Linked DNA regions of Arabidopsis thaliana. The protein of the gene in region 2 interacts with the protein of the main gene of each other region in a pairwise test. Each region holds a gene or a part of one and is shown on either strand. Other genes may lie near its edges.

Region 1 (8,034 bases), 2.4 Mb from region 2:
TAGGTAAAATCAAGTAGAAGCCAACTTACATTTCGTAATTAACATTCTGAATTATTATCTGAGCTGCCTCCCCAAGATAAATGTGATCTTTTTCAAACGCACGAACAATTGCTTCCCAAACACCCTAAAAGAGCATTATACAGCTGAGACAATGAACACAAACAAAAGTGCGAAACAGAGAGACAGTTTTCCTTACAGAAGCACCCGAAAGTCGACCAAAGATGTTGCGGCTTTCCGGAGTTGTCTTCAGGAGAATCTCATACACCTTTTTGACCTCCAAGTAACCGATCACTGGAAGCAAAACAACATTAAACTTGAATGAGAATACAACCAAGTAAGGCCCTCCTCCTAATCAATCATCAGACATAACCAAACAACAAACAAGCTTACGGTGTTCACAAAGATGCCAATAAAATCTCTTTGGCATTTTCAAACAAAATACTAACACTTTAAGTTATAAATGAGAGCAGTGAACCAAAACGCAATTTAAGACGAATTCGTTTTGAAGGTTTGAAAATTCGCCAAACTGATAAAAGAACAAAATTTGAAGAATTTAAAACCTTCAGGATCTAGGGTTTGAAAGAATGGATCGATCTCTTTAGGCAAAGAAGAGAACTCTTTTAAGATTTTGACTCTGATCACAGCAACCCTCTTCCTCCAATCCGCCGGAATTCTCTTCCGATCCACCAACCATTCTTCAAATTCAACAAAATTGAAATCAAATGAAGACAATAATCACCAACGCAGATTCGAATCCAACGAAGAAAACGAAAAAAAAAAACCAAAGAGATATAAAAATTTAAAATTCCGTGTACTCGTAATTGATAGTTCTGCATTACCTCCGAGACGAGAGAAGGTGATATCGATTGGAAGATTTTGAACATCATCTTGTGACGGCATTTTCTTCCGGTTAACCTTTCACGCTTTCTGGGAAATTTTATCTCCGAAGTCTCACACAGTTTAACGTTTTGGAGTCTCAAGAGTTTGCTACAGAAGAACGCATAATTTCATTGGTCTCATCAAATATCTCGAATCCGGTTATTGAACTAACCGAACCAATTTACTCCGGTCCGCGGCAGATTAAATTGTTTATTGGTTTTATATGGGTTGGTTGGATGGTCCATTACCGCGGTTAACATAAACTGGTCTATCTAGTAACGTCGGTTTTACCTTTACGGATTAGTCTACAGATTTTAAACTTTTTTTTCTTTACAAGTTAAAACTATTTTGAGGAAATTATTTGTATGAATATTTTGTGAATGATGGGAAAGAAATCAAAATTAGTTTACCAGCTCAATTTGATCAAACCAATTAGCTTAACAAAAACAAAACCTAGACCATATTAGTGCCCATTCAAACAAAGTACAATGGAACAGTTAGAGATACAAACAAAATTCAATCAATATATTTGACAATCTAAGTTCATAAATCACATAATAATGACTTTTAACTTGTTTCATATAATGTCTAGTGTTTATAGATTGAATGTAAGAGCGGTTAATGGATCATTAAAAATCGAATAAAAAATCTTATAATAATAATATAGATGATGGAATTGAAAAGTATATCTTAAAGTAAAAATCTAATAGCTGAATAATATATATAGGAGAAATATAATAATAATAATTTAGAGAACAAACAAAAAATATTTATACAAGTTTGTTATCAGCAATGTGACTAGAGAGAAGGAAGAAGAAGAGAGAGGGGATGGAAAAGGACATGTTCTTGACCGCTTTATCAGAATATTTTTCTTGGTTTCATACAAAAATAAAAACAAAGTCGTCTTCTAATATTTTAAGGTAGAAGAAACTTATACAACAAAAATATCAGAAAATAAAAAGGAGTTTGTCTTTAGGTTCTTCTCTCCAATCTCTATTTTTCTCTCCAATATCCTTCTTAAGTTTTTGAACCCTCTCCACTTCAATATAACCGACCTCTCTTCTCTCTTCTGAAAAAAACACCAAAGGAGCTTTAAATGCTCCGTTACATAATCTCTATCTCTTTCCAAGAATATAGAGAAAGGAAAATAATATACAAGAATTAAAAGAAGGTATATCATCATCTCTCTAGCTAGTGATCAAAGCACCGTCATCATCATCATATATCATCAGCTTGCCTCAGAGGAGAAGACCAACATAAGAGAGATCGAAGATCAAAATCTATCTCTCTTCATCATCTTCTGCTGTTACTATCATATCACACGCTCTCTCAAACATCATCCTATATATAGACTTCTCTTCATCATCATCAAATGCAAGGTCATCACCAGAATCATCATCAACACTTATCATCATCCTCCGCCACGTCTTCCCATGGAAACTTCATGTAATTTTTACTCACTTAATAACTTTTTGAATTGATTGATGATCCCCATGTTTTTAATAAGAGAGCTTTAATTTATGTGTGCAGGAACAAAGATGGGTATGATATTGGAGAGATAGACCCATCACTCTTCCTCTATCTTGATGGACAAGGACATCATGATCCTCCATCAACTGCTCCTTCTCCTTTACATCATCATCACACAACTCGTATGCACTCTCTCTCTCTCTCTTTTCTTTCTTTTTTGGGAATTGGGGTTTGTTTTTTTGGTTTCAGCAGATAAGGAAGATTCCCTTTAGGTGTGTGAGAGAGAGAGAGAGTCACAGCAAAAGCATGCCAAACAGATTTCAATCTTTCTTCTGCCATCAGTACTCTATTCTTTCAGCTTTGACCAGATCCTCTCTCTTTTCAGACACCAAATCTTTCAAATCCATATATCTTACACTTCTTTAAACCCTTTTCTCTCTCTGTCCTTTTTCTTCTAATTAGAAGAACTAGTCCGCTCACATATTTATATACATGACTTGTTATAACTAGACCATTTCTCATACATATGGTCACATGACTCATCTTATGGCAGAGAATTTGGCGATGAGACCTCCAACATCGACGCTCAACATCTTTCCATCTCAGCCTATGCACATAGAGCCACCTCCTTCTTCTACACACAATGTAATAATTATTACTATTACTTTATAAATTTCTATATATATATGCCAATTTTAGTTGGTTTCTGTTTCTAATTTAATATAATGTCAGCGCAACTACTAGCCATTTCATATAATATCAAGTCAGACCAATTATTATACGTTTCTTATTTTTCTATTGAGTAGTGATTTGATTGTTTTTTGGTTGTTTTATATAATGTGTTTGGTAAGACCGATAATACAAGATTAGTTCCGGCTGCTCAACCTAGTGGTTCCACTCGACCAGCTTCTGACCCGTCCATGGACTTGACCAATCATTCTCAGTTTCATCAACCTCCTCAAGGTTCTAAATCCATCAAGGTCTCTATCCATTTATGTTTTTTTAATCATTTAATTGCTTTGTCGAACTATAACTCGAGTATAGATATAGACTTGTTGTGGTTGTTTTTAGAAGTTAATGGGTCATATCTAAATGTTATGGCAGAAGGAAGGGAACCGCAAGGGTCTTGCCTCATCGGACCATGACATACCTAAATCGTCAGACCCTAAAGTGAGTGTATATTCATACAACTGCAGAAAATTAATAAGATTCTTTTTTTTTTTTTTTTTTTTACTTTTCGGTTTTTGATAGTTTCTTTATTAATTTAATTCTCAACAGACATTGAGAAGACTAGCACAAAACAGAGAAGCAGCAAGAAAAAGCAGATTACGTAAAAAGGTCAGCATTCAATATTTGTAAGTTGCAAATATAGTTTTTATATCCAAATTTATTTATAACGTTATTTGCTTTGGTAAATTACGACAGGCTTATGTTCAGCAACTCGAGTCATGTAGGATCAAACTGACCCAACTAGAACAAGAGATTCAACGGGCCAGATCCCAAGTAAATATTTGAACCTGTCTTTTCATATATATTGTATTTAACCTAAAGTCTAAAATGTACCAATTTAATTTGATTTCCTATATATGTTTAGGGCGTATTCTTTGGAGGGTCTCTTATAGGAGGAGATCAACAGCAAGGTGGACTACCCATTGGCCCTGGCAACATCAGCTCTGGTACGTTAATAGTTTCATAAATGTGATGACTCAAAAACCGTAAAATTTGAAAACCGAGAGAATGAGATATTGAGTAAATGCAATGTGAAGCAGAAGCAGCGGTGTTCGATATGGAATATGCGAGGTGGCTGGAGGAGCAGCAGAGGCTATTAAACGAACTAAGGGTGGCAACACAAGAACACTTGTCCGAGAACGAGCTTAGGATGTTTGTGGACACATGTTTAGCTCATTATGACCATTTGATTAACCTCAAGGCTATGGTCGCTAAGACCGATGTCTTCCACCTCATTTCTGGAGCATGGAAAACTCCAGCTGAACGTTGCTTCTTGTGGATGGGTGGTTTCCGTCCATCGGAGATCATTAAGGTACATCTCGTCTTTTCTTATAGCCATATACATATATTTAGGTTTTTCGAGAGATATTTACTTATTCTATTCGAGCCACATCCCACACAATAATTAGTCATGATGATATTGTAAACTAATCAAATATGGATTAATAAATCTAAATTTTGGAATTTTACTTGAAGACTAATCATTTTAAATTTTATCTTAGAACCTAAAATATTCCAGGATACAATCATTAATACCATCAATTTTGTGGATTACTTGCAGAACATATACTAATAATGACTGAAATTGTGACATTGTTATTATTTATATCGTACATATATGTCCACAGAATATAGTACTTCCAACTTTATTTTATTATTTAGATTTTTTTTTTTAATTTAGTCTTTGATTCTCGTAAAAGAGGTACGATATAGTAATAATAGATAAGACAGACAAGAGATAGACTATATAGTGATATTGTTGGACGAGGTATATATATACATAACATTGCATGGGGTGACTCTAGATGTATAAAACCAACATATATACGTGAATGTCTTTATATTACGACAATAATAAAGGTACACGTAAAATTATTTTGAAAACAAATTAAGAATGCATGCAATTGTGTGTGATGGTGAAGTATCTCTAGAAATAGGTAGGTTTTGGCATAATGCAAAAGAAAGTGCCTGTCTGTTTTTTCGATTTATGGGATCCATAGGAGAGAGAGATAGACATAAACCACCATGGAATTCAACAGAGACGACCATAATAAACAAACCAAAAATAAATAATTGTTTAACATTTTTAGCACGCTCGTCAATTGGATGATTATCATTTTTTTTCTTTTCTAAAATGGTTACGTAAAGCCATTTTAATTAAACCTACTTTTTATTCTAAACAATATGAGTACCTACGATAGCCGATTAATAATACAAATTAATATATGGATGGTGTGCATATCTGACAAGACCTTTGGCAATGTCTCAATCTTATATCCTTTTTAGTGAAAATAAAAAGGAAAGAAGAGATTTTGGGTGTAGCTAGTAACTCGTGCAGAGTACATACACTACACACTTTAATGCATTCAACGTTCTTTATGCATCCATTAAGACCATTGTTAATTAATCCTCGATATCTCAACTTGTGTGTATTAATTAGAAACGCATGCATGCAGGTGATTGTGAACCAGATAGAACCATTGACGGAGCAACAGATAGTTGGGATATGTGGGCTGCAACAGTCCACACAAGAGGCCGAGGAGGCTCTCTCGCAAGGCCTCGAGGCGTTGAATCAATCACTTTCCGATAGCATTGTCTCTGACTCCCTCCCGCCTGCCTCCGCACCACTTCCTCCTCATCTATCCAATTTCATGTCACACATGTCCTTAGCTCTCAACAAGCTCTCTGCTCTCGAGGGCTTCGTTCTCCAGGTACCCTTATAACTCTTTCTTTTTAAGTTTATGTGCAATTATATATCAATATACCAATCTTTTATCTTTATATAAAAATATACCTATAGAGTTGATATACAAGTGGACCCCTAGAGGATATATGTGGTCCTAATCAGACTAGGAATACATATTCTGTTTCTTTGAACTACTCCTTATTAAACTCAACTATCATATACTTATATATTTCTATATTTGGCTGTTATAACACGCTATCTAAATTTATATAGATGTTTGTATATATGTGTGTGTCTGTTTTGTGTACAACTCATATATAGGTATAACGTCGGCCATAATTTGTTAGAGGACATTTGTAATATATTAAGTGTATATAGAATAAAAGTGGTTGATTTTAAAGAAGATGTCAAAACTAATTCGCAAACTTAATAATTATGCATTAACATGTATATGTATATGAAATGGAAAGTATTTGCCTCTTGATTCGGACATTATGCAAGTAGGTATCTAACAAACACTTCTCTTGTCTTATATCAACTTGGTCGGGTTGCTTTTCTTAGACGACCAAGTTTATTAATTTAATATTTATTTCTTAATCATTTACTAGTTTAGGACAGGCAAGTTTTTGAAACAAAGAAATATATATATCTGCTTGTGTATATTAATGTATAAGTCTATACTCTATATGCAAATGGACATTTCGGCTAATTAATTCTATACAAGATACATGCATATACAAGTTGGCATCTTTCAATGATTTCTTAATATAATTAGTTCTAAATTGTTCCTGTTCCGCCTATAAAAAAAGTTTTTGTGTTTCGCTACACGGTTAGTCGCTCACAATTTGGAGAAAGATCCAACTTTAAAATAGGTGGTAAATGTGGGGTTAGTTACTAAAAAGGGGTAATGAATTCAATTTTCTCTAAACGCACGTGACAATTGGCACCATGAAAGTATGTATTAAGTATACATATTCCAATATATGTAGTCCAAAAGAAAAATACATATATTATGTATCTATAATATATCACATCAAATAAAAACATGGAATGCTTGGAGCCCATATCGTTGCATGATGTCATGGACGTAACTGCCCAAGTATCCCATCCTCCGAAAACACTTCCTTGAGAATAATTCCTTTACTTACATTTGATTCTGCATTTTTTTGTCTACTTTTATATCATTGATAATAGGTTGATTATATATGTATGATTCTAATTAATGATCAAAAGTATCATGAAGCATGGCGTGGGACCGAGGGTATGGAATTCACGGTTTCACCTTTTTGACATGTTGGTGTCGTGTTCTTATTAGTGAATTACTAACAAGCTTTGATTTTTTGATCGATCAACATGTTGAATAATCGGCATTAGTCGTCAATCAACCACATAATTTCGGGTCATGCACAATCATTATAATGCTTAATTAGTCCTTTATCTGTTTTTTTCCTCTCTAGTTAGTCTTTAATACTTATATTTATGAGATTAATGATGGTCCAATTCGATTATTTGTCCTTAATTGGTCTTAGTCAATAACATGTGCACTACTTTGTCCATCTTTTGTTTTGCTTTTACTATTTCTCCATTTTCCCTATAACTCTTATTTAGTTTTGAACTAGCTAATACATTAGAAACTTACAGGCGGATAATTTGAGGCACCAAACGATCCATAGGCTGAACCAATTGTTGACGACCCGTCAAGAAGCACGGTGTCTTCTAGCCGTTGCGGAGTACTTCCACCGTCTTCAAGCTCTAAGTTCTCTCTGGCTAGCCCGTCCTCGGCAAGATGGATAATACTAAAACAACTGATGAAGGAAACCAAAAACAAAAACAAGAGAATAGGTTGATTAGTTAGCCGCCAGCTTGACCTCTTTATCATATATATCGTCTCTCTACTCAAATACAGTGCAATTAGGGAAAATTGTTTGGCTTCTTTTTGTTATATGATTCTTACTATTATGTTTTTAATCAAGATGCAGATTATATATATAGACAAGTATTCCATACCTTTTAATGAATTCTTCCTTATGCAAATTCAAGTGAAAAATTATACTTGATCTTCAATTCCAAACACAAGAACATGAGAGAGTATTGAAAGGAAACAAAAATAGAAGGCTGGCAACAATTGCAGTTGCATGCAAGACTTATCACTTGTTAGGTCAAATTAAAGCATTGACCAGTGAGGAAGGTGACAAATGGTGAGTTCTGTAGGATACCGTCAGGGACTTGGGATCAGTACCGTTTTGCTTTGGGTTCAACGCCCTTCTCTC
Region 2 (3,484 bases):
AGCAATTGAGAACACATAATTACACCAATAGGCAATTAGATTAGATTCCCCAAATTGTATTTCCCTTTATTCTGTGTAGATTCCTATACTGCTGTAATCAAGATCTCTGGGTGACTTACACGTTACGAGTCGTTTATTGTCTACGTAAGAATTATTCTAATGAGTATAACTTATCTCAAGGTATATATGCTATTTAGTTCCTTCTTTTACTCATCATGGTAATTGATGAGCCCTTTAAAGTTGTAATGGAAGTGAAATGTTTAAAAACCTTCCAAACTCAGATAATGTGACCTTGTAATTGTAGTTTTCTTACAACTTTGAGAAGAAGAAAAAACAAAGAAAAGGTGACATGTGATTGTATGAAATATGAATGACTGAAGAAGTGTTCTCTAATTTGTTTTTTAAAAGCAAAAATGAATTAGGAAGGAATTGATAGCTGTAAAATCAGTGACGTTATTGGATGATCATGTACGGGCTCTTCTTGACGCAACGGTCGGGTCAAAATCACGGATTATTGTTAGTGGGTCTCCACGTAATCTGGAGTGGGGACCCCTCATGAGGTGATTATTTCCCCCACAAGTTAACAGTTATAACGGTTAAGATTTTAGGTCATGAAAATAACCTCCTCGTTCTTGTCTTAGTTTGACCTTTAATTTTATTTTATTTTCATGGCAAATTTTTATTTGTGAAAAATGACCATTAAATTTTGCAAATCAACTGTCAAATTGTAAAATTAGAGATAAGAAAGCTAACAAGAGACATAGCGATTAGTTAACATTTATATATTAGTGTGATTTAAGATAGACAAAGAGCTAAGCTTAAAACAAACGCATCACTCTTCTCTCTCACTGTCTCTAATTCAACACTGGGATTAACCTATTTCTTCTGTCCTTAAAAACCAAAGATAAACCAAAGGTTGATATTTGGAGGATGAGATTAGCACTCATCAGAGCCAAAGAGCGCCAGCATCTTTGAGAAGAGGGACGAGTGAGCCATTGATATGTGAAGCCATCACTCTCTCCATTGCTCCTACCATCTTCCCTCCGATGAACACCACCGGAAGTGCCCCCGGAGATGTGGCGCCACCGCTGGAACAGCCAAGGAGACGGAGGAGAGCTCGGTGGATTTCAACTCCGTAAGGGAGGAGGTCGAGCTCGTGGACGGCGGGGCTGACGCCCATTCCACGGAAGAGACGCTTGATGGCATGGCACATGCAGCAAGTGCTCACGCTGAATATAACCACCGCATTCTCTGCCGCCATCGACTCTATCTTCGCCAGTGTCTCCGACGGAAACACATTCATGTTGTTCATCACCTTACTGTTGTTGTTGTAGGACAACGACCCTCGAGTTTCTGTTTTGTATTGCATCTTTTTTTGTATTCTTAGAGAAAAAGAGAAAGAGAATAAGAGAGTGAGAGAGCGAGAGAATTTGTGTGAGAGTTGGTTGGGGAGAGAGTGAGAGGCATGCAGAGTATTTATACATGGTGAAGTTCTAAATTTAACTGGTAGGTTTTAATTTATTTTAAAATGGCATATTATTAGAGAGGATATGCCAAATGATAACAAAGTTATTGATGTGATAGTCATGGACCATCATGGTTGCTAGCTTTTGTTATGATAGGATGATATTTTTAAGAGACATTTGAGTCCCATTTAAGTATAATTATTTATTTTTTCAAGATTTTACAACCATATAAAAGTAGAATATTATTCAGTTAAATAGGTTAGTAGAATAAGGGAATTGTTGGTAATGGATATATCTATCCTTCTTGTCGGCTTTTTCTGTAATATCTTCTTACACATTTACACTAGCTAGCTAGTTTTTGTCTGCGAAATTGGTCCAATATTATCAAATACAAATGGTCCAATATATGCATATATATAAATACAAATGGTCCAATATTCATGTGTATATATATATATTGTATATAGAGACGCGCCGAATAATAAATTTGATGCTGCCAACATTATGTGAGCAAGTCGTAACGCAGAGATGAGGTCGAATGTTTGGATATATGGCCGGTGGTTTTCCATTATATTCCGTATTCACTTTATGCTCTCAAATCCTCTCTAATCAATCTCTATAAACAAGCTACATATAATACCATTATCAATATGATCGCAAAAGGAGTGGAATATATATTTTGGATTGTGTAATCCAATTAGCATCTCACAAATGTAGCGCTAAACATATATACAAGTTGGAATATCTTTTGGTGATCAAGATCGAATTTCGTAACCATTTTATTATTCTTAGCCCCTAATGGGATATAGAAAATTGGCTAGTTAATGTTATATAAAAAGAAATAAAGGAGTCATCAATATTCTTGAGAATGAACTTTTAAAAGAGATTGTAGTTGCCAACAGTGTTTAGTTGCTTACCATCAGAATGTCAGTGTTCTTGATGTATGGAAATTACAAGTTGGCATGTGTTCTTGGTTTGCTACCATCTTTTTCTTTATATATGATTATTAAATGTTGTGAATTCAGTTAGACAAAAATGTATAGTTCCATATATATATAGTTTGGATTTGTAGATAATTTTACCAAAAGGCTGAGAAAAAAGGTTGAATTTTACAAAGTTGGTCACATGCTTTTTTGGCTTTCATGCATGCTTCTGCCTTCCTTTTGTTATCTGCAAAATTTGCCTTCTTGTTTCTCATGTTTGACCAACCCCTTCCATAAAAAGGAAAAATGCTAAAATAAAAACATTTATCGTTGTCAGCACAAACAACTTGTTATGAAATTTGTAGGTACCCAATCTGCAATATAGAGTCACCTCTCATCGATTGATTATATATGAATAATATCCCTAAATTATTCATATTCTATACATCGATCTATTTGAGAACATTTCTGTTACTTTTTAAGAAAATAAAAGAAAGCTTAAGATATGGGTATATATAGTTTAAGTGAGTCCGAAGAGTTAAATGTCCCTTCATTGGTTTAAGATTTGGTGTATAAACTAATTAAAGCTGATTTATATGATTTGGAGGACTAAATCTTTGTTCTTAAGATGATGATAAAATAACAATCTTTGAGGGATTGCGTTTGTCGGACCACTTTATCATATATTATATGGAAAAAATTGGAAGGCCGTTACAGAAGCCTTACGTAACAGATTTCATCAGATGTGTATTTCTCGTTGACCGGCTGGTCGGTCGGATATGACCCTGGTCAAGTAACTGTTGCTTATGCTTTTCAGGAAGGGTATTTTCGGTATCATTTAAAGTGTTTCTTTACTTTCTAAGGGCATCTTCAAGGCTCAACACCATTTTGGTGTTCAAATTACATCATTTTTAGCACTAAAACTTGTGTTTTTTCCGACCATAACACCAAAAATCATACTAAAAAAAATATATACTATTATATTATCTATTTAAAAGATTTCTTTTATTATTTAATAGTTTTGATTAGTATTTATTACTAGTATAGAATTACATAACATTATAAACATAGTATATTGAAATATATATTTAAAAA

The links.
Region 1: the proteins of ROXY2 (region 2) and TGA10 interact in a two-hybrid assay, tested with the Arabidopsis thaliana proteins (one study listed by BioGRID).

The regions. Positions count from the first base shown.
Region 1 is NC_003076.8:2,118,660-2,126,693, forward strand, and holds TGA10 (bZIP transcription factor family protein), read left to right. Parts: upstream 1-1,812; 5' UTR 1,813-2,251; coding exon 2,252-2,325; intron 2,326-2,409; coding exon 2,410-2,531; intron 2,532-2,902; coding exon 2,903-2,994; intron 2,995-3,200; coding exon 3,201-3,329; intron 3,330-3,453; coding exon 3,454-3,519; intron 3,520-3,627; coding exon 3,628-3,687; intron 3,688-3,774; coding exon 3,775-3,852; intron 3,853-3,943; coding exon 3,944-4,025; intron 4,026-4,115; coding exon of another isoform or gene 4,116-4,118; coding exon 4,119-4,390; intron 4,391-5,534; coding exon 5,535-5,789; intron 5,790-7,405; coding exon 7,406-7,558; 3' UTR 7,559-7,798; downstream 7,799-8,034. Other genes in the region: AT5G06830 (uncharacterized protein), read right to left, coding at 30-124, 197-291, 561-695, 840-900. UniProt on the Arabidopsis thaliana protein: Together with TGA9, basic leucine-zipper transcription factor required for anther development, probably via the activation of SPL expression in anthers and via the regulation of genes with functions in early and middle tapetal development.
Region 2 is NC_003076.8:4,539,800-4,543,283, reverse strand, and holds ROXY2 (Thioredoxin superfamily protein), read right to left. Parts: upstream 1,505-3,484; 5' UTR 1,370-1,504; coding exon 947-1,369; 3' UTR 699-946; downstream 1-698. Other genes in the region: AT5G14080 (Tetratricopeptide repeat (TPR)-like superfamily protein), read left to right, coding at 1-19.